Linked DNA regions of Oryctolagus cuniculus. The protein of the gene in region 3 interacts with the protein of the main gene of each other region in a biochemical or structural test. Links are inferred from orthologs where the notes say so. Each region holds a gene or a part of one and is shown on either strand. Other genes may lie near its edges. The genes, in order: KHDRBS1, FASLG, LYN and KIT.

Region 1 (7,825 bases), on a different chromosome or scaffold from region 3:
CCTTTGGTTAAAATTTTATGTTGGGGGGCCGGCACTGTGGCACAGCAGGTAAAGCAGCTTCCTGCAATGCCAGCATCCCATGAGTGCTGGTTCATGTCCCAGCGGCTCCAATTCCAATCCAGCTCCCTGCTAATGGCCTTGGAAAAGCAGAAGATGGTCCAAGTGCTTGGGCCCCTGCTATCCATGCGGGAGATCTGGAAGATGATCCTGGCTCCTGGCTTTGGCTTGGTCCAACCCTTGCCGTTGTGGCCATCTGGGGAGTGGACTAGTAGATAGATCTCTCACTTTCTCTCCAACTTTCAAATAAATAAAATCTTTAAAAAATTTTTAAAAAATTTCATATTAGTTGACAAGTGATCACATATTCCTCATTTCTAACAGTGATAAAAATTCTTTCTACTCTTTAGAATGGCCAAAGGAATGAAGATAATGATACAAAGTGAGTAGCACATGCTCTACAAAGTTTTTTCTTTTTGCTTATGTTTACTCACACATATTTTGAATTGATTTTGATTTCTTATCTCCAGCTATTTTATATTATTCTAAAAATGAGACCATTTGCCAATTTGTTTCCAACTGGCTATTGCTTTTACATCACAAATTTAATTATTTATACAACCTCACCTTGTAATCAGCTACAGCACTAACTGCTTTCCTAGGTAAACAGCCCTGCGATTGTGGCAAATAGAGATAAATGTTGCCTCTTTCTTCCCTAATAGTTGTATTAGTTGGCCTAAAAATTCCTTTTCGATTCCACCTTCCAGTCAGTTTTAATCACAGCTTTTGCCTGTCCTGTAGAATGAACCGTGACGGTCTTGATATAGTTCTATAAAATATCATAAATCAAGGAATTAACTATCTGTAAGTTTCAACAGACTGCATGATGTTCTCCACTGTAAGCTTCTCTGAAGGACAGTTTTGGAGTAGCCCATCAAGATGTTCTAGGCACTGTTTATTCCTGAGTCATTTACACTTTTATTTTCCTAATGGTAGAAAGCAGAAAATGAACGTTGACATACATATCAGCATTTTACATTTATTATATAAATGCTAACATAAATAGTAAGGTAATTTATATTTCTTTCAGAAAATAAGCATGGGTGGTTGGTTGAGTTCTTGCATGTCTGCAAATACATTTAATTGTCATCACAGCTGAATACCGATCTGGCTAGGACAGAAGTCAATATTCAAAATCTACATTCCTCAAAATGTGTCAATATTTTTTCACCACACAAGGTGAATATTCATTATTCATTCGGGAAACATTAATAAGAGGCCACTCTGGGCAGCACTCTTCAAGGTACAGGAGGTGAGAGTGGTGAAAGCAGCTCACAGAACATGCCTGCCCTGGCGGAGCTGACCTTCCAGCCACGGAGGAGCCAGGTGAAGGTGATCAGCAGACCACAAAGCAATTAATTAAACATATGGTGCACCAGATGCTGTTAAGTACAAAATAAAGTAAACCTAGGAGAGGGACGGGGGAGCTGTGAGTGGTGCAAATGAGTGGTCTGATTGGCAGGGCACCTTTTCAGGAATGGGCAGAGGTGCCTGGACTATCACAGTTCCAAATGCTAGGCTCTGTGCTAGGTTTTCTTCTGTATTTGGCCTCAATTGTCACTGTCTTGTCAGCACTCTGATACTTTCCATAAGATTTTTATTTTCTCCAATGAAAGCTTACAACTTTTAGCAGGCATTATAGTGTGGAGGAGGGGAAAAGGATTAGGTGCATGGTTTCATACTCAGACTTACTTTAAATCCTGGTTATGTGGCTTATTAATTGTTACCTTAAGCAAATTATATTCTGTATGGCTTTCTTTCCTTATCTGTAAAAGTGAGTACAACTTCTGGGGCTGGTGCCGTGGCGCACTAGGTTAATCCTCTGCCTGCGGCGCCAGCATCCCATATGGGCATTGGGTTCTAGTCCCGGTTGCCCCTCTTCCAGCCCAGCTCTCTGCTGTGGCCTGGGAAGGCAGTGGAGGATGGCCCAAGTGCTTGGGCTCCTGCACCCCCATGGGAGACCAGGAGGAGACTCCTGGCTCCTGATTGGCGTAGCTCTAGCCGTTTCAGCCATTTGGAGAGTGAACCAATGGAAGGAAGACTTTTCTCTCTGTCTCTCTCACTGTCTGTAAACTCTACATGTCAAATAAATTAAAAAAAAAAAAAAAAGAATAACTTCTAGTGTTGTCATGAATATGTAAAGTGCTCTAATCCAGGGCCTGACACAACGTTAGCTGTTTTTCTAATATATGTTCTCAGGGATTAAACACTATTCTTTCTTCTCAGTCTCATTTCCTTATGATTGGTTGACTTCACTGTAATCTCTTCTCTAGAAATACCTTAAGAACCATATCCAACAAACATTAAGACTTTTCTATGCTAAGAAGTATCCACACAACCCAATTTTGTTCTCAATATTTCCATCCTCTTTAGGTTAAAAAAAAAAGGCATTAAAAAAGCCCAAGTTTGAAAAAAAATAAGGAGCAGTGAGAGAATGAAAAATATAAATAATCTTTAAGGATCAATGATTTTTAATGGTTATCCTAAGAAACTATCTTAAAAGATGAACATCACGCTGGGCAATGGAGATAGTCAGAAGGGCAAAATATATCTTAAGTTCTCATACCTTGTTCATTACCATGGATTCACAACCAGAAAAAAATTGTGGTGACAGCTTCTTCTAGCTAATGATACAGATCAAAAGAAACTGCTGGTGATTTTACAGATCATTTAATCTTCCAAACTTACCATCCACTTTACAAATGAGGTTACTGAGGTTCAGAAAGCTTCCCCAGAGCCGGTAACTAATTAAGGGCCAGCGCTGAGAACCAAGTCAACACCTTTAGGCTCTAAAGTGTACTTTATTCTCCTGCGTTTAATGCAATGCGTACTGCCTGAAGATTTGAGAAAATTAAAAATCCGACTGCTAAACCAAACTTTACCAATTAGTCTGACATTCCTGAGTTTGCATGTGTACATTTTCAAACACCTGGAGTTTGCTATGTCCAGCACAGTACCAAAAAACATGTTTAAATATAAAAAGCAATTCTTGCTCTCAAAGAGCCTGTCAGAAGAAAACAGGAAAAGTAGAATGTGGTTATATAGGACAGCACAGAACTGAGTTAAAGATCTTAAGCAATTTATCGAAATTTTCTAATTGTTTATTGCGTTAAAAAAAAAAAAAAACCCTTACCAGTGTTGGGAGAGAGAACAAAGGGAAGGAAATGAGATTTTCATAATGAACTGTCAATGAACTGTCCCTTGTATCAATCTTGTCAATGGCTCCGACTTCTCATTCAGCGTCGAAGGCCATGAACTGTTACTCTACCATTTAGGTATAATAAATATTTCTTTGAAAAACATTTCTAACTATAAGAAAAGGTCAAAAAGAGGCTGCAGTGAGAAATCAGAGCGATTAGGGAGGGGGTCAGGGCTGCCGAGGGAAGAAGCTCCCGTCCGCGGAGAACAAAGACTACCATTCCCATCTATCTCGCCACGGAAGCAAGAATGAACACAAAAGGCCAAGTCTTCCAGGTGCAGGCACCGAGCAACTTCTCTCCACGGTCCGTCCCTCGCGGTGGGGCCCGTCCTGGGAGCTCCCCTGCAGCCCTTACCGCCTCCCGTCATCTCATTTCACTGTCCCCAGGGCTGCTTCCCCGCTTCTTGAATGACGGTTGAAAGCACGTTGTAAAATAAAACGGCGACAACCTTCCGGCTCTGCACAATCCTCATTTCACCTGCCCGATTCGGACATCTGATTCGGAAAACCTCAAGCTCCGACTCCCACGAGTCGCTGTGCCTCGGCGCAACTCCAGCTCCCGTGACGGCCAAGTGCGGCCGGGCCCGCGAGACGCCCGCGCGCCGGCCAGGGCCCTCCGGCCTCCCACGATCCCCGCCGGCTCGGGCTGCCTGCAGCGCCGACACCCACGGCCGAGGCGCTCCCCGCCACCCAAGAGCCTTCCCCTCGGGGGGGACGCGGGAGATACGGGCTCATTTCTGGAAGAATCTGAGCACTCGGAGCGCGGGGCAGCTGCGAGAGGAGGGAGGGGGAGGGTCGGGAAGGGGGCGGGGAGCTCGGCGCTCGGAGATCTCCCAGTCGCTTTCGGGCGCCCGCAGCAACCCTGCGCCGGGGTGGGAAGGCGGGCTTCAGGCCCCCGAAGACGAGGGCCAGAGGGGGAGCTCCCGACCGCCACGGTCCCGAGGGACTGGGATGCCAGAGGAACAAAGCCGCTGCCAACCTCCTCCCGCACCCCTCCCGCCCCGGTGGTCCAGCGACCCCGAGGGACCCCGAGGCCCGCTCACCTGCAGTCAGCAGCTGCATGGCATGAGTGAAGGACGGGTCGAGCGAGTCCTTCTCGGCCATGAGTTCGGGCAGGTACTTGTTCTCAGGCTCCATCTTGACCGAGGCCGTGGCTGATGGGGGCAGCAGCGGGGTCGGCGCCGGACCACCCACCGTCGCGTCGGGACCCGTGGCCGAGGGCGGCAGCAGTGGCGGCGGCTGCGTGGCGGGCGAGGCCCGGGCGCCCCCCCGGGGCCCTCCTCCGCCTCCCCGGGACCGGTGAGGCAGCGGCGGTTGCCGAGACGGCGTCTGACGCACCGAGGGGTGGGCACCCGAGGGGTCCATGGAGCCACTGCGGCCCGAGGACCGGGTCATGCGCGCGGCGGGGTCGTCCCGGCGCTGCATCGCGGAGGATGTGCGATCGAGCGATCGAGGGGACCGACGCGGCCGAGGCCCGGGCGGCGGTTGGCGGCGGCGGTGGTAGAGCGGGAGCAACAGCGACCGAAGCCGACCCGAGCGACCCAGCCAGAGAGAGCACCGGAAATGAGGCAGCGCGCGTGCGCACCAAATCCCGGCACCGCCCTTGGGTTTCTCCGCGAAGAACAAAGTCCCCAGTCGGGCCACGGCGCCTGCGCACTGCCGTGGTGCCCGAACCGGAGGCCTCCCCCCTCCTCTTTTCCCTCGGAGCCCGCCAGGCCGGAGCTTGGCGCGCGTGCGCGGACGGCCGCGGGCTCCGTTCGTTTTTTCTCCCACGTGACTCGGCGCTAGCGGGACACGTGTCTCCTCCCCCTTCGGACCGGGTGCGCGGAGGGGGCGGGGGCTGTGGAATGTCTTTGTCTGAGCGCGGGCCGGCGGCGAGCGTGGGGCGGAGGTGGGGGGGAGACCTGTTACTCGTGGGCCACGCCCCCTCCAACGGCCGAGCCGCGGAGCCGGGCGGGGGGTGTGGGCCGGCCACCGGCGTGAAGACGTGCTGGCTGCGTGGGGCACGCGGGGAGGGAGGCGCAGGGAGAGGCTGACGCCGGGATGCGTGGTGGCGCTGGGGACGGCCGGCTGACTGGGAGACTTGAACTGAGAGGGCGGAGACCTGAAGCGTAGCAGGGAGCCCCGTGCTGTCCCGAGGTTTCCCGCACACTAGGTTCTGACACGCTAGCCGTGGTTAGTCGGGGAAGTCCGTCCGTGTCGCAGCCTGCTTCCCGCTTGAAGCGGTTATTTCGCGGAGTGAGCAGAGGCCGGGTCTCAGGCGGCCGTGCTGAGGCGAGGGCCTTGGGCAGCGGATCTCTCGCCCGAGGCCGGCTCGGGTCTGGGAGCTGCGTGCGGGGGAGCCCGGGTCTCTACTATCAGTCATCGAACGCCTGGCGCGTCTCTAACTTTCCCTTCCGGCCGCAGGTTTTTTTTTTTTTTTTTTTTCTTCACCCATTCAGAGTACTCCTTCCATCCCTTTTCCTTCCGGATCTGTTTCCTAAATGAGCTCGCGACTTTCAAAAGCGTCTCTGGAAACTGCCTGCTGGGTGCTTGGAAACGTGATTTCTGGATTTGAAGCTCAGACCCCTTTAATGAGGGAACATAAAGGCTTGGCTACGTTTTTTTACTAAAATGAGAACAAAACGCTAATATCCATAAATTATACGTATAAAGTACAAAATACATAAAAAATTTTGTACAGATTATGGGTTATATAAATAAAAATACATGAGGGTATGTCAAAAAGTTCATGGGAACAAATCTGGTGCAAAACAATTTCGAGATCCTTGTAATGTTGCATTTTTAAAGACTTTTTGCATAGATTTCGAAATTTTTTGTACCTACCCAAATATATTTTACTTCCATTTTTCCTTCAACTTTTTAAACTACCGTGGTGGTGATGGTGGTGGGGCATGTGTGTTGTGTGTCTGGTATAGTAGTTTAAGGTCACATAAATGACCCTTGTCCTTGAATACTCAGGTAGTTTAAAGTCAAGTAGGAAGAAATTTTTTTTTTTTTTGACAGGCAGAGTGGACAGTGAGAGAGAGAGACAGAGAGAAAGGTCTTCCTTTGCCGTTGGTTCACCCTCCAATGGCCGCCGCTGCAGCCGGCGCACCGCGCTGATCCGATGGCAGGAGCCAGGAGCCAGGTGCTTTTCCTGGTCTCCCATGGGGTGCAGGGCCCAAGCACCTGGGCCATCCTCCACTGCACTCGCTGGCCATAGCAGAGAGCTGGCCTGGAAGAGGGGCAACCGGGACAGAATCCGGCGCCCCGACCGGGACTAGAATCCGGTGTGCCGGCCCCGCAAGGTGGAGGATTAGCCTATTGAGCCACGGTGCCGGCTGGAAGAAAATATTGTGTTGCTATTGCTGTGGCATACAGCACTTTAACAAAATCAGCATAATTGCAGCATAACATTTCTAAGAATTTCATACAATTTTTGGAACACATATCAATAACATCTGATAAATATAAGTTAAAGAAGGCTTCACATCAATATTTGGCCATTCTTCCCATGTAATTTAACATATCCCGTAAACCTAAATTCTCTTTTAGAATGTGAGACATGTCCTTTGAAGTTTTCCAGGAGCCCAACTAGAAAATTCACAAGTTAAGGGGAGGTCACAAAGGCTTAATTTAGAATTTGTTGTGGGGAAGTTTACAAAAAAGAAAGGGGGGGCAAGGCAAGCATTCAGTGCAGCGGTTAAAACCCGACTTTGGGATGGCTGCATCTCATGTCAGAGTGCCTGGCTTTGAATACAGGTGTATCCTGCATTGGTGTATCCCTGAAGGCGCCAGGTGATGGCTCAAGTAATTGAATCCCTGCTACCGCCACCTACCTGGGAGACCAGGATTGAGTTCCTGGTTCCTGGCTTTGGCCTGGCCCAGCCCTGGCTGTTGTGGACATTTAGGGAGTGAACCAGCACATGGAATATATGTCTTTCTCTGTCTCTGCCTTTCAAATAAAATTAATTTTTAAAAATCAAAGGTTTAAAATATTTCATCAAGATGGAATCACAGGACACAAAAGACTTCAAAAAGCAAATGCAGAAGACTACATAGGTGTCAACAAAAACTTGGCTTTTTAATATTAAGAAGATTTATTTTTGTTAAGTAATAAAGGACCCATAAAGCAGAAAGCACAAGAAATGATCTTGATAAAACATAAACTCAGGGGAGAGGGTTTGACCAAATGGTTAACACCGCTTGGGGTGCCCCCAGCCCATGCTGTGCTACCTCAATCCAGCTTCCTGCTGATGGGCATCCTGGGAAACAACAGGTGATGGCTTGGCAGTTGAGTCTACTGGTCTACATGGGGAACCTGGACGGAGTTTCCTGGGTCCTGGCTTCAGCTTGGCCCAGCCCCTGCTATTTTGATCACTTGGGGAGTGTACCAGTGGATGGGAGATTCTCTCTCCTTCTCTCTCCTTCTCTCTCTCTCCCTCTCCCATTCTGCCTTTCAAATAAAATTTTAAAATGCACACACACACAATAATTTTTTCCCAAGTTAATTACATAAAAGGTAAAACTTTTATTTCCTACTAAGAACAAATTGGCACTCCATTGTAAACCTTGGTGCCTTACAGA
Region 2 (7,763 bases), on a different chromosome or scaffold from region 3:
TAGATAGACATAAATTATGTTACCAAAGAACCTAAGTTAAATAAACATCAATTCATAAAGTACAGTCATATTGTGCCTACTTTTAGAATGCTTAAGAAATATTTTAGGTGGGAATTGTTGTCCTACCTCATTCAAGAGGCCTTCAAAAATTCATAGAATATATGTATTATGAAAAAGCTATGCATGGATTTCAAAATAATTTTGCAGTACTGGTGTTGTGCCTTAGTGGGTAAACCACCCCCTAGGCGACTCCAGCTTCCTGCTAATATGCACCCTGGGACACAGCAGGAGATGACTCAGGCAGTTGGGTTCCTGACACCTATGTGGGAGACCTGGATTGAGTTCTGGGTTACTGAATTTAGCCCCTGTCTCAGGGCAGTTGTGGACATTTGGGGAGTGAGCCAGTGGATGGAAGTACTCTCTCTCTCTCACTCTATTTCTCCCTCTCAAATAAATAGATAAATAAAATATTTAAAAATATACAATAGTTTTCAAAATAGATATGATTTCTCTATCTTCAAATGTGTCAGCTAACTTGGAGAGGTGCCATTTAGCTGATGATTTCAATAAAGATTCATAGAAAGGGACCCAGCCGGTGTCGGTGCTGTGGCGCTGTGGGTTAACACCCTGGCCTGAAGTGCCAGCATCCCATATGGGCGCCAGTTGTAGTCCCGGCATCTCATATGGGCACCAGTTCTAGTCCCTGCTGCTCTTTTTCCAATCCAGCTCTCTGCTGTGGCCTGGGAAAGCAGTAGAAGATGGCCCAAGTCCTTGGGCCCCTGCAACCGCATGGGAGACCTGGAAGAAGCTCCTGGCTCCTGGCTTTCGGATCGGCGCAGCTCTGGCCGTTGCGGCCCTCTGGGGAGTGAACCATCGGATGGAACACCTCTCTCTCTCTCTCTCTGCCTCTCCTCTCTCTGTGTAACTCTGACTTTCAAATAAATAAATAATTCTTAAAAAAAAAAAGAAAGGAACTCAGCCATCTCCTACTTTTGATTACCCTGAGAAACTCGCACATGGTTTGAGAATGGCCCAGGCAACCAAGGACATGACCTGAGCATCACGCTGTCTCTCACCATCCAAGACAACCCACCACGAATGAGGTGTCAGTGAACAGGAAAGGCAGAACTGAGTCTCTTCTCCATACCTACACCACAAACCATCGAGCAGCTGATCTGGCATTTGGCCAGGTACTGACAGGAAATGCACTTGTTAGTACCACATGTTGCACGTTTTATATCCTACACAGAGCCTAGTAGAATGTTATTCTTCTCACTGAAGATAGACACTGAAAATATCTTTTGGATAAACACTGAAATAAAGAAACTGAAAAAAAATGCCTTAGACATTGGGATGATTGTTTCCTGCCCCAGGGATATTTGCACTTGCCAGTGCTGGAATGCACCCCACCATCACCCACCCTCCTCCACGACACAGACACATCATTCCCCACTTGGTGGGCTCCTGATCTCTTGGGTGTCAGCACAAACAGCACCTCTGTAGAGGGGTTTTCCAGATTGCTCCATCTTGGGTCGCAGGTAGTACAATTTGAAATGATATTTTGTGTTTGCTTACTGTCATTCACCATTCTAGAAAGCTCCCTGAAGATAGCCCCCCTTCTTTCTCTCACTCTCAATCATCATCTACCACCCAAGCCCAGCCTGGCACATGGGAGGCCCTCCAAGAACACCAGTGGATAATTAACTAGTCAATCTACTTATAAAAAGGAAAACAAAACAAGTAATAAATAAGAAGGTATAAATAACCTATCACAGTACCTCTGGGAGAAAATCACTATTAACATGTCATTGTCTTTTAGTTCTTTTCTAAGAATATAAAAATATGAAAATATAATTGCACAGTCAGTATTAAACTGCCATAAACTATCATACACTTTCTGTAACTAATGATATAGAAAGCACAATCCCTGTAGCATTAAATGTTTTTCTGATACATGGCTTTAATTCAGCATTTTTTGCTTATCTGAATATACCATAATGTGCTTAACTAACATATAATGAGGTATTTAAGTTTCTTCTGAGTGTTTTATTTTAATAGCCTCATAATGAAGTGATGAACATCCTTATACAGAAGCCTTTGGGGGCCATAGCTCTGATTATTTTATTAAGATAAAATCTTAATGATGGGATTACAGGCTAAACGAACAATCTCAAGCTTTTGATACATATTTCCAAACTATTCTTCAGAAAAGTTAGGTCAATTTGTATTCACACTAGCTCAAACTAATGCTTAAAGGGACACTTTCCTATCACAGCTTTGGTAGTCTGGATTTTTACTCTTTTTAATGTTTATTAAATGGATGCATGAAAATAAGTATCTTTTTTATAACTGGCATCTCTTATTAGTAAAGTTGTAAACTTGATAATTAGTAGTTGCTAATTTGATAATTCCCTAATTTCTGATCTGTCTGGGTTGATGCAGAGAAGATAAGAGTTTAGTGGGGTAGGTAGACCTGACTCATCTGTTCATTTAACTTTTAACCAATAAAACGCCTCCAGAGAGTGGGTGAGAGATGAGTAATGAGGTACCTGTTTCCCTAGCCACAGTCCCCTGATTTTCAAAGTGACATTAGAAGTCCTCCAGAGGCTGCGTTTTTCTAAAAAGTGTTTCCACTCTGTGCCCCTCCTGAGTTTCTACCACATCAGAACAAGGGGCCAGAGCATCTCAGTGATGGCTCCTACATGAGTTTATGCTCCAGGGAAGTCGCTGACCTGGGCCACCTGCAGTAGGCTATCCTGAGATTGAAACTGGCAGCACTTAATGGATGGCTAGCCCTGCCTGCTCTCTTCTTCCACATTTCTAAGGAAAAAAATTACCTACTGATTTTGCAGAAGTGTCCTGCTTTCCATTTCTTTCTCATCCCCTGGCAATTACAGTCAAGCAAGAGTTTCTGTCTTTCCATGAGGCACCAGTCCACATGCTAGAAAGTCCTGGAAGTGCCAAGGCAGCAGGAGCCTACATCCCTTCTAGCCCCAGCGCCACCCAGTAGTCATGGGCACATCACCCAATCTGTCTGATGTTTTGTTTCTCTTCTGAGAAATGAAATGGGTGGAACTGATGATCTTTAAGATCCCTCTCAGTTCTAACCAAGTTTAAAAAGTCAATTAATCTTGGTTTAATACAAATGGAGCAAATCCTAAAATATACTTGTCCACAGTGTCTAAATCTATGCTCTGAAATTTAATGAAGCCAGAATTCAACACTTTTACCTTTTTCTTGTACTGGATTTCATACAAAGGACTTTCCTTTATTGTCAAAAACATCTCATAGGTAAAGTGGAATAATCCTTTGAATATGGGTTAAATCTTCTCCCAGGCCTCCCCATGACTTCAAAGGAACCATGCTATGTGGGAAATTGTCCACTTATCAAAAGCTTAGCTAAATCTTGTACAATGTCTTAAATGAAGCTTGACTCTTGAGTGATCTCTTTTCTGGAGTTGAGAAGAGGAGAGGACATTTCCCAGAAGTTTCTCTCTTTGCCCATACCTAACTAGGACTCCTGAGGAAGGAGATGGGCCTGCAACCAGCTGCCCAAATGGCAGGGCTCCAGGATTATGTATGTGTGTCTCATCCCAAAGTCAAGTCAAAAGTATTTTGCATTGTGTGAAACACTCAGCTACACTGATTTTGAGCAGTGAAATTCACTTCATATTTTAAAAGATGCTCAAGAAACCACACTGACCAGGGGTTCAGAATTGTCCAAGACTCTTCTCATAATATTCACAAGCCCAGGAATGGGATAGGATTCAAGGTATCCCCCCAACAATGTTCAGTGCTAAGGATTATCTTTGGAAATTCAAATCACATGAATAAAAGGACTCACCTGTTTGCTTCTCCATAGATGATGATGCTGTGTGCCTTTGACTGAAGGACTACCGGAAGAAAGAGAAAAGATGTATGATAAATAGGAAGCTCTTTAATCAGTGGAGGAATTGCCAAATAAGCCAGCCCCCGAAAGAGATTCCAAACTCCTCAGAACCTTTCCTAACTCAGACTTTAGCCAAACAAGTTTGTCTCATTGTCCCTCAGTTTTGTCATTTGAAATGGTACCAGATTTTTTAAAATGTTTTCAAGGAAATTCAGTCTGGTCATTTGAATACATTCACTTCTAAGCAGACTCAAAGTTTTTTTTTTATTTCTTGAATCACTAGATCTGAGGTCAGTGGCTTCACAGACTGACATGACAACTGAAAAAGGCAAAACCATATGGCTCAAATTCTTTACAAGACAGAAAATACCTCTTCATTCATAGGACCCTCCATTTCTCTACCTATAGAATAGAACGACAAGAACAATCCCTTTCCAAGACAAACAGTAAAGCTTGAAAAGCACTTTGCAAGCAAGACAGTGGTCCGGGTAGACCCCAGGAGGCTCCATCCCACAGCAGCAGAGCCCTCCTCCCACCCCAGTGATTGCTGGACACAGCTTACCTCTCTGAGCTCGGCCAACTCCTTCTGCAGGTGGTAGAGCTGGAACATCCCCAGCCCCAATCCAACCAGGGCCACCAGGACCATGAAAAACATCAGAAGGAGGCAGAGGCCTGTGCTGTGGTCCTTCCTCTTCTTCAGGGGTGGTGGGGGCAGCGGGGGCAGTGGGGGCAGCGGGGGCAGTGGTGGTGGTGGTAGCGGTGGCGGCGGCGGTGGCAGTGGTGGTGGTGGCCTTCTTTGACCAGGCCTTTCAGGTACAGAGGATGGACAGGGGAGAACTGACCCTGGAGGGGCCCAGGGAGAGCTGGCAGTGCTGTCCACCCAGTAGATTTGGGGATATGGATAACTGAAGGGCTGCTGCATGGCAGCCAGGGACTCCCAAGGATTTTACTTCTCAGTCCTGTGGAGGCTGCAATGTCGAAGAAGGAACTCCTGCTGCTCACTGTTAAGAGAGGAACAGCCAGCTCTCGCTTTATAGAGTTTCCACACCAAGGGAAACACCAATCAATCTCTCTCTCTCTCTCATCTTCTCTTGCTAGTTCTCAGAGAGACACCCACTCACCTTATATCTGCAGCTGAGAAGCCTCAAGAAGCTCAGAGCCAACCCCTGGAAGTTTCCGCCCACAACTTTCTGATGAAAGCCCCCGGAGCCACAGCTGCCGTGGCTGCGCTACCTGAAAAGGCAGGGAGCCGTGACCGCCTTCCTCGGGCCTGCAGAGCAGGGCAGCACTGGGCGCAGTGCTGGCGCAGGGAGAGTGGCGCTGAGCGGGGAGACTGGAGTCACTTGCAAGAGGAAATCATCCCCCTCCCGCATCCCTTCCCCACACCAAGCACTGTTTACCCGAACCCTGCAAATCACCATAATTTACAGATTAGACCCTGCCCCGCCCACTCTAGAGATTAGATCAGATATGCTTTGTGGATCTCACAGCCTAGCTCTGTTTTTACTTCTTGATGATTTGTTTCTCATTTGTAAAATCAAGACAGTCCACATTAAAATACCTATTTTCATTCTGTTGTAAATATTTTTAAGGCCATCTCCACAAATTCAGTCAGCTGGAGGTGAGGAGCAAGTGTCCCCAGGAATGAGACACAGGTGACCAGGTAGCCCAACCTCCACCCCCAAGGTCCCTCCACCCTGTACTGTGTTTCCCACACCACCTCACCTGTGAAATGGCTTTCTGGCCCCTGTAGGCAGCCCTGTTCATAGCTGCTGTTATGTTTACTAGAATTGCTTGAATTTCAGATCAACAAATAAGCTTCAGGGTATGTATGTCCTAAACAATGCAAGAGTTGTACTAAAATGTTATTCATTGTTTATCTGAAATTCAAATTTTAAAGGGTGTCCTTTTTTTAACTTTGTTTTTTGCTAAAGATGGCAACTGTGCCTGGGCTATGACCTCACCCTTTCTTTTGGTCTCAAATACCATTAATATGCCAATAACTTCCAAGTACTCAGCCTCACTCTTAATCATTCTCCCATAAAAACTGTATAAAATTTCCACAAATCTTCAATTTCTGTTCTTTTGAAGATGTCTACTTTTCAGTTTCATTAGTTTCTACATCACACTGTGAGATTTCTGTGACTGTCGTTCTGGCTCTCTCACGTGGACCACGTCAATACCAAATGTACAAGGGGTTTTCAAGAAGTTCATGGAAAATGTGTACAATGAAAACTCTATTAATGAATTTCAAAATTGTATTGCATCAGAGAGTGGGGAAGGAGGGAGAGAGAGAGAGAGAAAGAGGAAGTTTTCATCTTCCAGATTCACTCCCAAGTGCCTACAATAGCTGGGACTGGGCATGGCTGAAGTCAGGAGTTGGGAACTCAATCCAAGTCTACCATATGGTGACAGGAACTGATGCAACAAGGACAGGAGCCTCAGCCACTTTAGGTTCTTGTTACCCTGTCTTCTTTCAAGAGAGGAGTTCAGTCTCCTTCCCTGTATTGTCCCCCCCCCCCCCCCCCCCCCCCGCATTCTTCCCCAGGTTTGGAAGCCAGTGGGCCAAACCTGAAGAACCAATAGGGAGAAACTCACCTCGGCCTACTGCCCCCAGCCCCACCCCAGCCCACCTAAGTTATAAACAGGCCCAGCCTGCTAGGGTCTGGGCTTCTGCCACGTGTTCCATCTGTGAGCTTGATGGCAGTTTGTCAACCTCTGTGAGTTTATTTTCTCTGAATAAATTTGGTCTGGCTGCGAGTTTGTACCCTGTCTCCTCTCTGTTCTGTGGCCCCCTTTTCCTTACATTTGGTGCCTTGTGTCAGGAGCCACCCATCTGCATTCTTTTCCTTACAGGAACCCACTCACTTGAGCCATCACTGCTACCTCTCAGGGACAGCATCAGCAGGCAGCTGCACTCAGGAGCTGGAGTCGAGTATTGGATCTGGTGGGGGACGTGAGTATCTAAATCAGTGTCTTAACTTCTAGGCCCATTGTCTGTCTTGCACCTAAATAAATTTATCTTTAAATTCCATTTTTTCAAGAACTTTCTGAAGTATCCTCATATTATTTTCACGCCACATTCTCTCCACACAACCCCCACTCTCAAAGCTACCCATTTCTGTCTTGTCACAGCTTCAACACCTCTTTTTTTCTCCTTCAATCTTGTAGGAGTCACCCAGGACTATTGATGTCACCTCAGACATTTTTTTCTTACCCTCCCGTAATGCACCCTCCCACTCTCATTTTCCTTCCTTTTATTGCCTTAGATCATTATCATCTTCCACTTGAAATACTGCGATGGTGCCCTAACCAGTCCCTCTGTCACCAGACTTGTCCAAACCCAAGTCACCCTATAAAATGCTGCAAAAATAGTGTTTTTATCTTTTTCTCTTTTACAAATATTTTATGTATTTATGTACTTGTTTATTTATTTTTAGTTTTTAACAGATTCAATATACTTCATAGATACAATTCTAAGAATATAATGATATCCCCTTCTCTCCCCTCCCCCCTGCCCAAGACTGGTATTTTCAAAAACAAATCCAACGATCCTGTGTCCATGCCTAGAATCTTCTCTTGGAAGGTTTGATTCCAGGATCACCATCTCCCTAGCGTGCCCCAGTGCTCTGCACAGTTGGACTCAGCAGCTCTCACTGCCTCCTTCCAGGCACCGCTCCCCAGTCTGCACTTTCCACTTGGAAGCAGTATAACACAGAGACAGGGGTGACTGTGCACAGTGCTCCTACCATCATTTAGCATTGGTCAGAGTTAGTATACTTTTGAGTTCACATATGACTTTATTCGTAGTTATGAAAGATACTGAATTTAAAAATAATAATAATCAGAAAGTATCACTTTAAGGATTCTATCA
Region 3 (7,689 bases):
GGCCTCAATCTGCTGCCTCCCAGAGTGCGCATTAGCAGGAAGCTGGCATTGGCAGTGGAGCTGGGACTCCACTCCAGACTCCAGACTCCAGACTCCAGGCTCTCCGATGTGCGATGCGGGCGTCCCGAGCGGCAGCTTAACTGCTGCAGCCAGTTTCCACCCCTGAAGGAGTCTTTCTGACATACAATTCAGTCCTTCCAGATAACTTAAGCCAAAAATACCTACGAGAAGGTCCAAGTCCTTACACAGATCTGTTACAAAATCTCCAATTCCTCAATTGGCAAATTTCCATACCATTTTCTAGACTTGGGTGTATCTCCCAAATGAGAACTTACTCACAAAACATTTTAGAAATGATGATAGAGTGAACTCAAAGTCTCACAACTTAAGAACCAGGAAACTAGACGGCTACAAGAAATCTTTCAGTATTTCTAACTGAAACAAAAAGCCAACTTCCTCTTCCATGTCCTTCTTTTCATTATTAACCTTGAAGAATGGGAGACAACCCATGCTCATTACAGGAAAATTGGCCCAGAATAGTGCCTTGTACACAGCAGGTGCTCAGAAAATGGGACATGTGCTTTAACACACGTCCTATGTACCCAGTCCCCTTAGTTTATATTTTTAACTTAAAGATTATCTCATTGTTGTAACAACCAACAAAGGGGCTCAGATAGGATTCGTGGGGGAGACACTTCTTGGCAGAGGCTGAACAAAGTCCTTTGGCCAAATACTCCTTGGGTATTTCTGTATTAATCAATAATTACCGAATAGCCCCCAAGGCTGCTGCTACAGCTACTTGAACAGCAGTCAATATTGGTGTCACCATAGCAGTTATTGTAGATCATTCCTCAAATCCACTCTCCCAGCAGGAAGCTATGCTCAAAGACACAGTTCCAGACAATCCTGCTTAACCACACAACTGTCCCAATGTTCTGAGCTGCAGCCACTTTGCTCAGAAAATTACCACATGATAAAAAGAACTTTGTCTCTATTTTTAAAATATTTATTAAATGATTTTTTTTTGACAGGCAGAGTGGATAGTGAGAGAGAGAGAGAGAGAGAGAGAAAGGTCTTCCTTTGCCGTTGGTTCACCCTCCAATGGCCACCGCGGCCGGCGCACTGCGGCCGGCGCACCGCGCTGATCCGATGGCAGGAGCCAGGTGCTTTTCCTGGTCTCCCATGGGGTGCAGGGCCCAAGCACTTGGGCCATCCTCCACTGCACTCCCTGGCCACAGCAGAGAGCTGGCCTGGAAGAGGGGCAACCGAGAAAGAATCCGGCGCCCCGACTGGGACTAGAACCCGGTGTGCCGGAGCCGCAAGGTGGAGGATTAGCCTAGTGAGCCGTGGCACCAGTCTTAAATGATTTTTAAAATGTCTCTTTTAAGTAGCTGAGAACCCAATACAGGTCTGAAGGGGGACAGGTAGAAAATGTCAGAAAACATAACAATCATGACTAATGACTAATGTGACACTTAGCTTGTGACCTGGGGCAAGCCCCTCAATCTGTGTTTTTGTATCTGTTCCTGCCTATCCTGTAGGAGACAGGAGAGACTCAGATGAAATCAAGGGTCAAAAAGCTCCCAGAGCCTTGGACAAGCAAATTGTCATAACTGCCCAAGAAAGATCAGCGGCCATTTCTGCCATCAGTGGGTTTTTGACCAATATCTCAACATCCTGACTAATGATTGCCAAGTCTCTTCAATGTCAACACAACCCTCCCATCACAGAGACCATCAGTACCAGGGAGCTGAAACAAGGTCCAATGCTGTGAACTCCAATACATTGTATTCTTGTAAGATCTATATGGAGAGGCTCACAGCATGGCATAGCAGGTAGAGCCACCACCTGCAGTGTCGGTATCCCATATGGACGCTGGTTCAAGTCCCAGCTCCTCCACTTCCCATCCAGCTCTCTGCTATAGTCTGGGAAAGCAGTAGAAGATGGCTCAGGTCCTTGGACTCCTGCACCCATGTGGGAAACCAGGAGGAAGCTTCGGAATGGCTGAGCTCTGGCTACTGTGGCCATTTGGGGTGTGAACCGGCAGATGGAAGACCTCTCTTTCTCTCTCTCTCTCTCTCTCTCTCTGCCTCTCTCTGCCCCTGTCTCTGTAACTCTGCCTTTCAAATAAATAAACACATCTTTAAAAAAAAAAAAAAAGATCTGCATGGATTTATATATGGTCATATTGTTTAATTCTGTTGCATTAAAATTCTACATATTCCTATCAATCAACTGAATGTTTTGGTGATTTATTTCTGAATCCGAATGCCAATGGCACTAACAGGTTTTGAAAGTCTTTGATTCACAAGTGTGCTGGATCATTTTCCTGCTAAACAGAAGCCTCTGAAGGTGGTGGGGGTGGGGATGAGGATATTGCACAGTCTCCACATACTTTTGCAACCACCAGCAATGACCATAAGACAAAGAGACAGGCCAGCTTCCTTTCCAAGATGGGTCTTACAGCTCCACAGCAAGTCCTCTCTTCCAGCAATAGAGCAGTGCAGACAGTCCTGGGTGCAGAACACTATTTCTGGGTAGCTTTATGGTCAACAGAGTCCCTTAAATCTCTGCCTTAGAAACAAAGACAGAAAGCACCAATTGGCTTCAACCACCTAGGGACAGCCCTGTTTCCCCTCTCTCTGTCCTGAGTTGTGCACAGGGCCAGATTCACAGTAGGCCTCCATGCCTCTTCCCAAGTAATGTCCACTGAGCGCCAACTGTGTGCTAGGCACCAGGGCTAGACACATAACTGTCATAACTGCTTCAGGACCTTCCATGGTGAAGGATACAGTCTATAGGCATAGGGACAAATTGTAATGTCAGTCTAGTTGCTGCTATGAAGGCAATGCTGGCTACATGGATGGCCCCAGTGACTTATCCCAAAGCACAACTCTGGCAAATGATAGAAGAAACCAAAATTCAGGTTTGTTGGCTCCTATTCTGTCCCCTAATATCTTTGGCCTTTATATGCCCCCACCTAGGAAGATGGTCACTCATTTACATCCCAAAGAGGCCCCATTACCCAAAGCACTTGCGATCCAATTATGTCTACCCAATCCTCATCTCCTCATTCATCTCTGAAAGATGGAGGACTAACAGATCCCACCCTTTCCTTGCAGAGCTTACTCTTACTCAGAAAAGACTCAATGAATTCCTGGACTCTGAGCACCCACTCCCCTAGCACTGCCTCTGGTGTTACTGGTGCAAAGAAAACACAGGCACAGCCAAGACAGCATACAGCCACCCAAGAGTCAAACATTCCTGGTGGGTTCTGAGGGCTAATCAGAGAGCTGGGCCTTGCTCCAGGACAGCCAATCCCTCCTGTACTTATTAAGCAGATTTACCAAGAAAGTCAGATGGCTCAATCAGATGTGTAGTCTTAGGTTTAAGATCACCAACCGGCAAAGAATCAAGGAGTGTTGTTGTGGAATTAATTTCAATCAATAACAGTAACCACCATCTATGGAGTGCACAGAATGTCCAAGGGACTTGATATGTACTAAACAGTACAAGAGGTAGGATGTATGTAGGTTTTCTCCAAGGTGAGAAACTCAGAAAAGGACTTTCAATCATCTGTTCCCTTCAAAGACAGCTAAGGCCTGGATTCCCACGCGGGTTTCTGGATGGCCAAGAGACTGGGCAAATTTGGAGTAATTAACACACATATGCCGACTTACAAACAGGGTCACACGACAGGCGAGCTACCAGAAGTAGCATCACAAATGCACAGCAGGCAATCAAGAGGAGGCCTCAGCCGGCCTAGATAAGGCAGGAAAGTGGGAACTGACGCCTACACCCTTCCCCCAAAGGCCAAGGAAAGGCAACCCCTGAATTCTTAAAATAACTCCAGCTTCCTCTCGCTGCAGAGGCATCAGACGACTCCTCAGCAGCCAAGAGGCGCCCGCTCAGCGGGAGGCTGAGCTGCCGCCTTCACCACGGCCCCTGGACTTCAGGCTCCTGCCGGGGCCACCAAGAAGGGCAGCTGTCCGCCGGCCTGGGAGAGGGCCCGGGCCGAGCCTCATCGCTCACCTCTGGGCACCCAGGACCTAGTAGGGAGACCAGATTGCGCAATCCGAGGAGTTCCCTCCAGGATCCCCGCCGCGCCAGCTGCGCGTGGACAGAGGCTTCCCCGCAGCGCGCGGGGAGTGGCCCGAGCGGTGACCGCACCCGGAGGGATCCGCTGGGTGCTCGCGACCGTACATCCCGCCGCGCCCCTGAGCGCCTCGGCTGCGACACCTGCGGACCCTCCCGCCCCCGCGTCTTCGCTTCCCCGGGCTGAGTCACCCACGAGCACAAGTCCTCTGGTGCCTTCACCGCCAGCACTGGGCGCCGGTGCGGCCAGGAAGCGGTGCGGGACCCTTGCTGCGGCGGCCTGCGCCTTAGCCCTCGGCCCGGAACGGAACCGGTGTCAGGGACCCCGGCCAGTGGCAAAGCCTCGGGCCCCGCCCGGCCACGCGCGCCCACCCCGGGACTCACCCGCTCGCGGTGAAAGTTTCGGGACGGTGGCGGTGGTGCTCCACGGTGACTTAGTTCAGAACGGGCGGCGCGACGGCGCGGCCCCGGGGGCCCGCGTGGGGAGGGACAGCGTGGCGGGGGGGAGGCAGGACTCGCGGCAAGGGGCTGCGCGCGTGGGGCCCGTGGGCGCCACGGCAGGGAGCGAGCGGCGACGCGGCCCGGCGCGGTGGGAGAGGAACTGGCTGTCGCCGGGCTTGGCCGAGAGGTCCCAGCTACTTCCTGGTGCTGGGATTTGCATACTGCGCCCAGAGGGCGGGGAAGTGACCGTTTGGTCCCTGCCCAAGGTTTGGGTGTTTGCTGTGGCCGTCGCGCGGGGCTTTGCGGGCAAAGAACCCTGGCGACCCTGCATGCAACTCCGGGGAGTGGAGCAGCGTGGGGCCCCACGTCCTTCTGTAGGGGCCGACAGGAGATCGCCAGAGGACCCAGAAGGTCCTCTGATCTCGTCTCCCCTCCTCTCCTTCTCATCTGCTCTCCAAGGTGTTAGGAAGCCTAGTGCTCCTGGGACAGAGGGTCTTCTGATTCCTCCCAGCGTTTTAAACTCTCTCCAGCGAGATGAGAAGTGCTGTCATGATCTTAGGGTCTCACTGAGGTCTTAGCCCTCAAAGATGTACCCTGGGAAGAAGGCATTGACTTGGGGGTTGGAGGTGCAGCAGAGTTAAATGGCCACGGTTTCCTCGGGAAGATGGCGATAAGGATTCCTACCTCCTACGAGGGCCTTCTGTAGAGAGTTCACATGAGGCACAGGGCATGGCACATAGCAGGTGTCTAACCAGTGTTGGCTCAAAGACTGATCGCAAGTTCAAGTTCATGTTCCAACTCAATAAATGTCACACATCTAAGTCCCTGCGGCTGCTCACTTGCTCAAAGCCAGTTCACTTGTTCACCAAGATCCCAGCACTGTTTTACCTTACCGAATTTACTCTCTGTAGGAGAGTTGGTCTTTGTATTAATAGCAAAATCTTAGATAGGGCCTGTTGGCACCAGTCATGCTCTCTTTTAACTGTTTTCTTAAGCAGCTAGCTCCAGCTAGCCTCTGATAGGTCAAAGCAGCCATACTGTAACACAATCAGATACAGTAGTCATTGTTACTAGTAAAAGAGTACTAAGGCTTGCAAAGCACAGTCAAATGACAAATGAGGACTGTTAAGTCAACCACAAACCAAGCATACAAGGGTGGTCCCATAAGATTATAATGGAGTTAAAAAATTCTTATCACATAGTGCTGTAGTTAGCTATAGGAGCATCGCAGTGCAAGACCTTATACACATGTTTATGGTGGTGCTGGTTTAAACAAACCTACTGTGCTTCCCATCATACAAAAGTACAGTGCAAACAATCATGTGCAGGCGCACAATACTTGAAAATGACAGTAAACAACTGTTACTAGTTTGTGCATTTACTATACTTTTATCACTGTTTATAGTCTACTCCTTCTACTTATATATAAAAAAAGTTTACTATAAAACTGTGTCCCACGCTATGCCACCAGCAGCCTCATACATCCCACACTTTGTGTGTTGATTACATCAGGAGGCTACACGGGGTAGGGGCTGGAGGAGCATTTAATCTAGTGGTTAAGACCTCCTTGAGACACCTGCATCCCTCATCAGAGTGCCTGGATTCAGCTTCCTGCTAATGCTGATCCTGGGAGGCAGCACCAGCAATGATGACCCAGGTAACTGGGTTCCTGTCACCCATGTGGGAGACCTGGATTGAGTTCCCAACTCCTGGCTTTGAGCTGGTCTAGCCTCACCCAGCCCCTTCGCCAGTCACTGAGGACATCTGAGGGGTGAACAGTGGCTGGAAGTGCTCTATCTATCTATATTTATCTCTCTCTTTCTTAACTCTTTGTAAACCAAATAAATAAATTAAAATTTAAAATAAATTTTTAATAAAGAGGCCTCGTGGTGTGTCTGACCTACATCACCAGGGTATGTGCAAGTATACTTCATGATGTGGACACAATGGCAAAATTACTGGACAACATATTTCTCAGAACACGTCCCCATTATTAAGTGACATGTGACTGTACTTCCTTAAAAGAAAAAAAAAAGTAGGATGGTTCATACCTATGATATTTGCAGTATGTATCAGTTACTTCCCTGCTGAAGAATAGGTGGGTGGGTAACCATGGGAAGGTATTGAGCCTATGAGGAACACCTTTCAAGAATTCTCTGCCCCAGGGTTCACTTCCTGAACTGCTCTTCACAATGACCTTGCAAATATTTTGTCCTAAAGTATCTTTTGCTAACAATGAGTCCTCGAGATCCTGGCTGAAGGCATGAGGCAAATAATAAAATGGTACAAAATTTTTTATGTCAAGGCCAACATTGTGTAGTGGATAAAGTTGCTGTCTGCAATGCAACTGTATGGATACCAGTTCATGTCCCAGCTGCTCTACTTCCAATCCCACTCTCTGCTAATGGCCTGTAAAAAACAGCAGAAGATGGTCCAAGTGCAGGGGCCACATGAACCCATGTGGGAGACCTGGGTGAAGCTCCTGGCTCCTTGCTCCTGGCTTCAGCATGGCCCAGTCCCTGTTGTTATGACCATTTGGGGTTTGAACCAGCAGATGGAAGATTCTCTCTCTCTCTCTCTCTCTCTCTCTCTCTTCCCCTCTCTCTGTAACTCTGACTTTCAAAAAAAAAAAAAAAAAAGCTTAATGTTAGATTAACCCATCTGGAATATCTTGTTTGTGTTTTGGTAAAATGTCTCTTGGAGTAGGGAACAAAACATAAGGTAGACCTAAGCTTGCACCCATCTCTGCTCCTAACTCCACACACACGCAAGCATCCTAGCTAAGTTCATCGCTTTATTCTATTTGGAAGTAGCAACTCTTCCCCTTCCCACGTCTCGATCTGTACTGATCCTTTCTGAAAACTTCCTCCCTATTCTCCACATCTATCTTCTGGAAAGTACCATGAAAGTCCTATTTCTCAGTGAAAGCCATCATTGGTAGCCTTCTTTTCTAGGCATCTTTAGCAGTGTGTAACATTCATTAAACTAGACTTATGCACTCTGGAGCATTAGTGCCTTCATTTCACGTTAGTTAGCCTTTTCTCTTCAGCTGCAAGTAGATAGCAAACTCGTTTTTGGAAGGAACTGCCTCTTGTGTTTACCCATTTTGCAGTGTACTTCCCCAAAGTTCTATTGAGTGATCTAAAATACCTC
Region 4 (7,143 bases), on a different chromosome or scaffold from region 3:
GAGAACACAGCAGGGCTACAGCGGGGCCACAGCAAGCGCCCGGGGCCAGGGCCCCGCCTCGAAACCAGGTCAGAGCTGAGCTGCCGTGGCCTCAAAACAAACCCGAAGCAGGTACCCCCGGGAGAAACCACAGAGGTCAACTGGCCTCACTCCGGGTTTGCAGGCCTCAAGTACCCACAATTTTCTCTAAAGGCAACAAACAAACACGCAGGTGCGGCTGCCACCTCCCTCTCTCCACCCGCCCCGCCCACGTCTCGTCCAAATCCCTGCCCGGCCTCTCAACGTCTCTTCCCGCTCCTGGCCCGCCACAGCCCGGATTCAGATTTCACGGCTGCCAGCCCTGCCAGGCACGCGGCTATAATTCTTGGAAACTGAAGAATGGATTTTAAAAATCCGATTACGTACAGCGATGTGCTCAAAACAGTCTTGCTAATTGCTTTCCTGGAGTTGACGCTGATCTATCAACAAGCTCCCTAATCAACTTAGCAAATTAGCGCTTATGGAGCTTAATATTTTAAAAGCACAGCCTTCCATTGCAATTAATAAATGGCTTGCGATCACGCGGAGGGACGGGCAGGACGCGTTCCCGCTGCTCCTGGGACGGCGAGGAAGGGGTCTCTGCACGTTCAGACCCGGGGTCGGGGACAGCTCCCGCTCTGCTCTGACCCGGGCAGAAGCCGGGAGCCACTCGGGGATCACCGTGGGGCAGCGCGGGCTCCAACCCTGCCCGGGGCACGAGGCACCCCTGTGGGGAGGGGGTGGGGCGGGGTGAACACAGACACTGCTTCCTGTCGTCCCTGCTGAGCCCTGCGGCCCCGTCAACAACTAAGAACCAGGTTGGGTCAGCAGGACAGGACGACACTCAAAGAAAAACAGGTCAAAGAGGCCATTTCGAAGCAATTATTCTCGTTCTCTCTCTGCACATCAGCCGAGGAAAACACTGAGGGAGGCCCACAGGGCTGATGTGCGGTAGGGGACCCCATCTGCACCCTGGGCTGCACCCCGGGGGCTCCCTGCCTCAAGGGTGCTGCTCTGTGCTCGAAGCTGGAGACCAGGGGAGGTGGGGGCGCCCTGGGCACCCTTGCCCCAGACAGAGCCACTGGGCGGCAGAAGGCAGAGGAGCGCGCGTGACCCGGATGAGGAGAGAGACCCGGCTCTGCCCCCAGTAGCGAAAGGCTGAGTTTGCTTGCACAGTGGCCTAGCTCAGCCAGGGCTGGGGCTCCCGCTGGAAAAAGCCCAGCTTGCGGCGTTCCTCAAGGCGAAAAAAGGAATAATCTGCTTTGGTGCTGAATTGCAGTGATATTTTCATTCATTCATTCAGTCACTCACTCACTCACTCATTCACTTGGTGATGATCAACGTCCAAGAATCTGCTTAGCATTGCATTAACATTGAAAGGAAACTGGCTCGTCATTTCTTCTTCCATGATTGCCAAACGTGTGGCTTCCCGCGGCAGTACTTACCTACGACTTTCAAGGTCGTGGTGACATTCGCCGACCCGAAGGTGTTGTTGGCGTAGCACATGAACACCCCGGAGTCCGCCACTCTCGCCGCGCCGATCGTCAGCGTCTCCTGGCGCTCGTAGTGGAAGTCGCCCTGATGCCAGCTGTGGCGCCTCACCTGGCCGTTTGTCCGCTGGTTCCCAGAGGGGACAAAGAGAATCCAGAATTACCATACCATTAATATTCAGATCTTCCCTAAATTAAAAATAGCAGCAATTAATGTCTCCATATTTGCATTCATTACAGTGACTTAAGGGGGAAATACTAAAGCCACAGGTGTCGCTGGCGCAGTTCCTATCACAGGGCCGTAAGAGAGACGGTCGGTACTAGTGACTGGCGGGGAGCAGATGAAAATTCATTGCTTGACCAGAGTCTGTGTAATTCCGAAGTTGCAGCACTAACTTTCAAGTTCTTATAAGAAACATTATGAGGGGCCAGCACTGTGGCATAGCGGATAAAGCCACTGCCTGTAGTGCCGGCATCTCATATCGGCGCTGGTTTGGGTCCCGGGTGCTTCCGATCCAGCTCCCTGCTGTGGCCTGGGAAAGCAGCAGAAGATGGCCCAGGTCCCTGGGCCCCTGCACCCGCGTGGGAGACCTGGAGGAAGCTCCTGGCTTTCGATGATCGGCCCAAGTTCGGCCGTTGCAGCCACCTGGGGAGTGAACCAGTGGATGGAAGACCTCTCTCTCTGCTTCTATGTAACTCTACCTTTCAAATAAAAATAAATAAATAAATAAATCTTTAAAAAAAGAAAAAACCTTATGGCATCTTACAATCTAAGAATACTTATAAGTATTTCCTGTGATCTAAAACCATGTGCGTGACGACCGTGCTCTGTGGTATTAGCGGCTGCTTCTGTGGGGATTAGGATGGAATCCGTGTGTCGTCAACCACCTCGCAGAGCCACCCACAGCCCTTACGCAGCAGAATCCCGACAACCCGAGAGCAGTCCCAGAGACTCTGAAACGCGCAGGCCAAGCCTAAAACTACGCAAGCCTGAGCAGAAACGCTGTGGCTCCTCCCTGGTGACATCAGCAACCCACTGACAAGACACCTATCGTGGGCGGCGGACGTCAGGCCTCCGGGCCAAAGGCACGTGTGCACAAGACCACTCCAAGAAGTTTCTAGAAAAATGAAAAGGTCACTTCGGTGCCAAAACACCTGTAACCCAAGAATATGGTTTTTTTTTTTTTTCAAAATATACAATTTTCAGAGACTTTCTGAAGTCCCTTTATATGCATGAATTTCAAAAAAATTTTTTACCAAAATAAGCTCATCTTTGACTTCCACTTCCCACGCACTTTCTGAAGGGCCTTGTACAGCGGTTAGCGAAAAGCAAAACACACACACACGAGTTGGGGACACAGAACAGGGGAGGGGAGAACAGACAGGCAGCAGGAGGCCCTGTGCAGGCTGGAAGACAGCCGCCGCCTCCTACGGGCAGGCTGCCTGGCTCTGCACATGGCCGGGGCAGCCGAGACAGCCCAGGCGTCCACACGGGGAGCTGCCCGGGAACTCAGAGTGGGTCAGGGACGGATGGGGCAGCCGGGCCCAAAGACTGCTGGGGGTGATCACCAAAGGCCAGGAGAAAGCCCTGGAAGGCCCAACCAAGACCGGCAAGCACTGAATAAAGTCCAAGACGCTGAGGCTTAGAGAAACAAATCCAACAACACTGAAGCCACGTGGCCCCGGGTCTCGCTGGGGGTTAAACTTATTCTAAGTGGTCAGAACCAAATACCATTATGGATCTGGAAAATAATCTGATCGCGCTAACAGCACTCCAAATTAAACCACAGGGTAGCCACACAGATTGGCAGGAGGCCAGGAGCCCATCTGCAAGTCACGCATTGCATATTGTCTGCACGCGGCCTGGCTCTCCTTAACCCTCGGCGGCGCACGCTGGGACCTCCCCAAAGAGCCCCCGACTCGGAAGGCGTGTGCGCCAGCGCCCGTGGGTTAATTGGGAACGGCACACAGCACTCCTGGGACAAATGGCTTCAAACAAGGCTGCCTGAGGCAACTGAATCTCTCATCTCAAAAAGGCTAATTTTCAAATTGCACAGAGGCGCGCGCACACACACGCACGGAGTCCAGATTGCCCTCTCATCTGGAATCAAGGCTTGGAGGAAGCCACTTAACGTGGCGTTGCGTCCTGTAAGGGTAGCCAGCGATCTATACCTAAGCTACCGCTGTTATTACATTATCCGCTTTGAGAACTAAACTTCCCACGGGGTTGAAAGGGCGAGGGGAGAACAGAGCCGTTCTCTCTCCATGGCACCAGCAGGCCTCATTAGCGAGACACCATCCATCACAGTCGGCTTGCGCACCCCCGCCGCCGCTCTGCAGGGCACAGGCACCGTGGGCCTGTGTGCAGAGAGCTTTGAACAGGCACGGAGCTGCCGGTGTCGGGGATGCGGGGGTGGGGGGGTGCAGGAAGGAAGCCGTGGCTCTTTGCCCGAGACAGCGCACACTCACGCGGGTCCTCTGAAAAGCTCAGGGGAGCACCCAAGTGAAGGGTACGTCATCTCGGTGCAAAACTCGTCTGAAGCCCGCGCAGTTCATTCTCCACCCTACACTTTTCCGTGTCGTGCTCAGGGATCCTGCAACCAGGAGGAAGCCTCGGGACAGCCGACCAACCACACGCTCAAGAGGACTTGAAAAAAAAATACTGCGATCTCACTCAACAGGGATTGTAAAGGAGAATGGTAGGAAATCCATCGGCTCAAAGACTCCGCTTGGTATTAACAGGAGAGGGAGGGAAAAAATACCTCTTCAAATACAACTCCTGAAATTTGCTTAAGATACGCCTACCACGTATCTGACAGATAGCAGGCATTCGATGTGCATTTGTTAAATGAATGAGAAGCTACATACGTCCACAGCTTTCAGGGGAAAGATAACCATTATATTAATAGCTGCTAAAACAAACAGAAAACCATTAGCAAGTGAGCCCCAGGTGAGCGGCTCCGAGCAGCGCGGGCAAGACGGGCTGCCCTGACGCACACGCAGGCCGTCTTTCGGCAAAGAGCTTTCTGGTTAACATCGGGGACGCTCTGTTGGCCTTCGATACGGAAGGATCAGCCAGAGCTGCGGGTTTCCAGTTCCCTAGGGAAGGCCTCTGCAGACCAGGGTGCCGCCCCCGCCCCCCGTTCTCAGCTCGACTCCTGGTGGCACGCGGACCCGTCACTGGTAACGAAAGGCCCCGTCTCCACGCGCAGCGCCGCCTCGCCGGTGGGGTCCCGGCCCCGGGGCACCCCCACACATCAGAACCCCGGGAGAACAAAGAGGAGGAGCCTCCACTCACCTGGCCGTCCTCCTTCAGCCACGCGGACAGCACGGCGGTGGACACGTCTCTGACCGTGCAGGTCACCGAGAACTCTTCCCCCTCTCTAAGCAGGCAGCTCGTTCTGGACACGGACACCACCGGGACGGCCTTGATGGCTACGGCGGGAAGAAAGGGGGCCTTCGCACAGCCCGGGCTGGCACAGCAGGCGACGCCGGCGTCCCTCTTCCCCAGAGGGCGCGGCTTACCTCATCGTCTTGGAACCCGGCACTGACCTGCGGTCTCCCCGGAAGGCCGGGAAGCCCGCGCCCCCACCCAGCACATTCATCAATATTGCGTGAAAGAGACAGACATGTCCCCTGTGGGACTGTAACACCTCTGGAAAAGGCTTGCTCAAGACAGGAAGAAGGGGCTGGCGCTGGCATAGCGGGTTAAGCTACCGCCTGCGATGCCCGCATCTATTTGAGCCCTAGTTCGAGTCCCGGCTGCTCGACTTCGATCCAGCTCTCTGATAATGTGCCTGGGAAAGCAGCAGAGGACGGCCCAGTCCTTGGGCCCCTGCATCCACGTGGGAGGCCCGGCTGAAACTCCTGGCTCCGGCTGGGCCCAGCCCTGGCTGCTGCAGCCACCTGGGGGGCGGTGAACCAGAGGGTAGAAGATCGCCCTGTCTCTTCCCCTCTGCACTACCCCAACTCTGTGAAATGGTGTGAATTTGCTGATGGCTTCTTGAGCATGTGGCCTCTAACGGATTATATTCTCTTATCCACACAGACCTCTCTCGTACACAGAGAAGTAACACCTCGCTTCTTCCTGAACACCCCAGGTTTTAAACAAGCAAACCTTCCTTCATTTCAATGAGGGCATCTTTCCAAAAGCCTTAATTAAAAAAAAAAAAAAAAGAAAGAAAAAAAAAAAAAAAACCTACTGAACAGCTGGTGTTGAATCACATGGCCTCTGAGATACAGAGACCTGGATTATCCCAGCCACCAAAACACTGCAGGATGCCACATGATGACAAGTTCACGGTCAGCTTGCACGTTCCTCCCCAGGCCTCGCGCGGTCCCAGGATGCATTGCAGTCAACCAGCGGGAGAGAGTGCAATAGCCAATCAAAACGAACAACTCAGCTTTGCCAACAGTGTGGTGGGAGCTGTCCAGGGGGTCTCTGGGAAGCAGCACTTGATGCAGGCACAGCCGGTAATGACCGTGCCCAGCACGGATGCCGGTCCATGGCAGACGCACCTGCCTCGGCTAGAGGTGGCCGTGGTCCAGGGGTGCGGGGCTGGGCCTCTCCAACAGAGGCTCCACCAGCACCGGTGCTCCCGCGAGGCTGGGGAACAGCCCACGGGGAGGGGCCAGCGCCCGCGGGCCGACCCTCAGGGAGAGGAAGGAGGGAAGGGGGCCCACCTGCTCTCACTTTCAGGATGAATTTTTCCGACTGCACGGTTGTGCCCTCGCGGTCGGCGGCGCAGCGCAGGCACAGCCGGTGGTAGGCGCGCCTCACGTTCTTGATGGTGATGCCGGCCTTGGGGTCCGGGACGAAGGTCAAGTCCTTGGGGAGAGGCTTCCCCTCGCACTCCTTGAGGGTGTAGTTGGTCACGTCCGGGTCGGTCAGCGGACAGCGGACCAGCGTGTCACTGTCTTCTCGGCCGTACAGGGGCAGGCCCACGAGGAACAGCTGCCGCGGATCTACAAACACATTGGGCGTCAGTGGCTTGCGCGGCTGTGCTGACACGGCAGGCAGCGTGACAGCCAGAACTGGAGCACATGCAAACGGGACTGGCGAGAAAGAGTTAACACGCCTAAGACACTTTCCACGAGCCGGGCACTAAGCCTGAGCCACCACCCATTTTTTTATCTTATTTAATCTTCCATAGGCCCCTGTGTGATGGGTGCTGCCGGCCGAGAATCTCCGACGGAAACACTTGGGACCAGAAGTGTTTCATAGTTCAGAGACGTTAGCATTTTGGGATATTTGCATAAACTTTCCTGGCTGAGCAAGCCTAATCCAAAAATCTGAAAGCTACAGGGCCGGCGTTACAGTACAAGGGTTAAGCCAAGCCGCTGCCTGGGACGCCGGCATCCCATAAGAGCAGCAGGTAGAGTCTGATCCAGCTCCCGGCTAATCCCGTGCCCCAGGTGGGAGACCCAGTGCAAGCTCCTGGCTTTGGACCGGCATAGCCCCAGCTGTTGGGGCCGTGTGGGAAGTGACCCAGCGAATGGTGTGTGTGTGCGTGTGTGTGCATGTGTGTCTCTGCCTCTTTCACTATAACCCTGACTTTCAAATACATTAATTAACCTTATAAAAATAAAAGACCCCCAGAGCATCTGAAGATAGCAAAGCTGTTTCTCCATAAGA

Evidence for each region.
Region 1: the proteins of LYN (region 3) and KHDRBS1 form a complex in vitro, tested with the Homo sapiens proteins (3 studies listed by BioGRID and IntAct, with this or other methods). The link is inferred for Oryctolagus cuniculus from reciprocal best matches to the Homo sapiens genes LYN and KHDRBS1.
Region 2: the proteins of LYN (region 3) and FASLG form a complex in vitro, tested with the Homo sapiens proteins (2 studies listed by BioGRID, with this or other methods). The link is inferred for Oryctolagus cuniculus from reciprocal best matches to the Homo sapiens genes LYN and FASLG.
Region 4: the proteins of LYN (region 3) and KIT form a complex in vitro, tested with the Homo sapiens proteins (2 studies listed by BioGRID and IntAct, with this or other methods). The link is inferred for Oryctolagus cuniculus from reciprocal best matches to the Homo sapiens genes LYN and KIT.

The regions. Positions count from the first base shown.
Region 1 is NC_091438.1:140,419,216-140,427,040, forward strand, and holds the start of KHDRBS1 (KH domain-containing, RNA-binding, signal transduction-associated protein 1), read right to left. Parts: upstream 4,903-7,825; 5' UTR 4,682-4,902; coding exon 4,300-4,681; intron 1-4,299. UniProt on the Homo sapiens protein: Recruited and tyrosine phosphorylated by several receptor systems, for example the T-cell, leptin and insulin receptors. Once phosphorylated, functions as an adapter protein in signal transduction cascades by binding to SH2 and SH3 domain-containing proteins.
Region 2 is NC_091438.1:1,339,161-1,346,923, reverse strand, and holds the start of FASLG (tumor necrosis factor ligand superfamily member 6), read right to left. Parts: upstream 5,219-7,763; 5' UTR 4,812-5,218; coding exon 4,452-4,811; intron 3,894-4,451; coding exon 3,845-3,893; intron 1-3,844. UniProt on the Homo sapiens protein: Cytokine that binds to TNFRSF6/FAS, a receptor that transduces the apoptotic signal into cells. Involved in cytotoxic T-cell-mediated apoptosis, natural killer cell-mediated apoptosis and in T-cell development.
Region 3 is NC_091437.1:81,130,777-81,138,465, reverse strand, and holds the start of LYN (tyrosine-protein kinase Lyn), read right to left. Parts: upstream 4,618-7,689; 5' UTR 4,480-4,617; intron 1-4,479. UniProt on the Homo sapiens protein: Non-receptor tyrosine-protein kinase that transmits signals from cell surface receptors and plays an important role in the regulation of innate and adaptive immune responses, hematopoiesis, responses to growth factors and cytokines, integrin signaling, but also responses to DNA damage and genotoxic agents.
Region 4 is NC_091439.1:109,615,803-109,622,945, forward strand, and holds part of KIT (mast/stem cell growth factor receptor Kit), read right to left. Parts: intron 6,474-7,143; coding exon 6,192-6,473; intron 4,951-6,191; coding exon of another isoform or gene 4,944-4,950; coding exon 4,807-4,943; intron 1,636-4,806; coding exon 1,464-1,635; intron 1-1,463. UniProt on the Homo sapiens protein: Tyrosine-protein kinase that acts as a cell-surface receptor for the cytokine KITLG/SCF and plays an essential role in the regulation of cell survival and proliferation, hematopoiesis, stem cell maintenance, gametogenesis, mast cell development, migration and function, and in melanogenesis.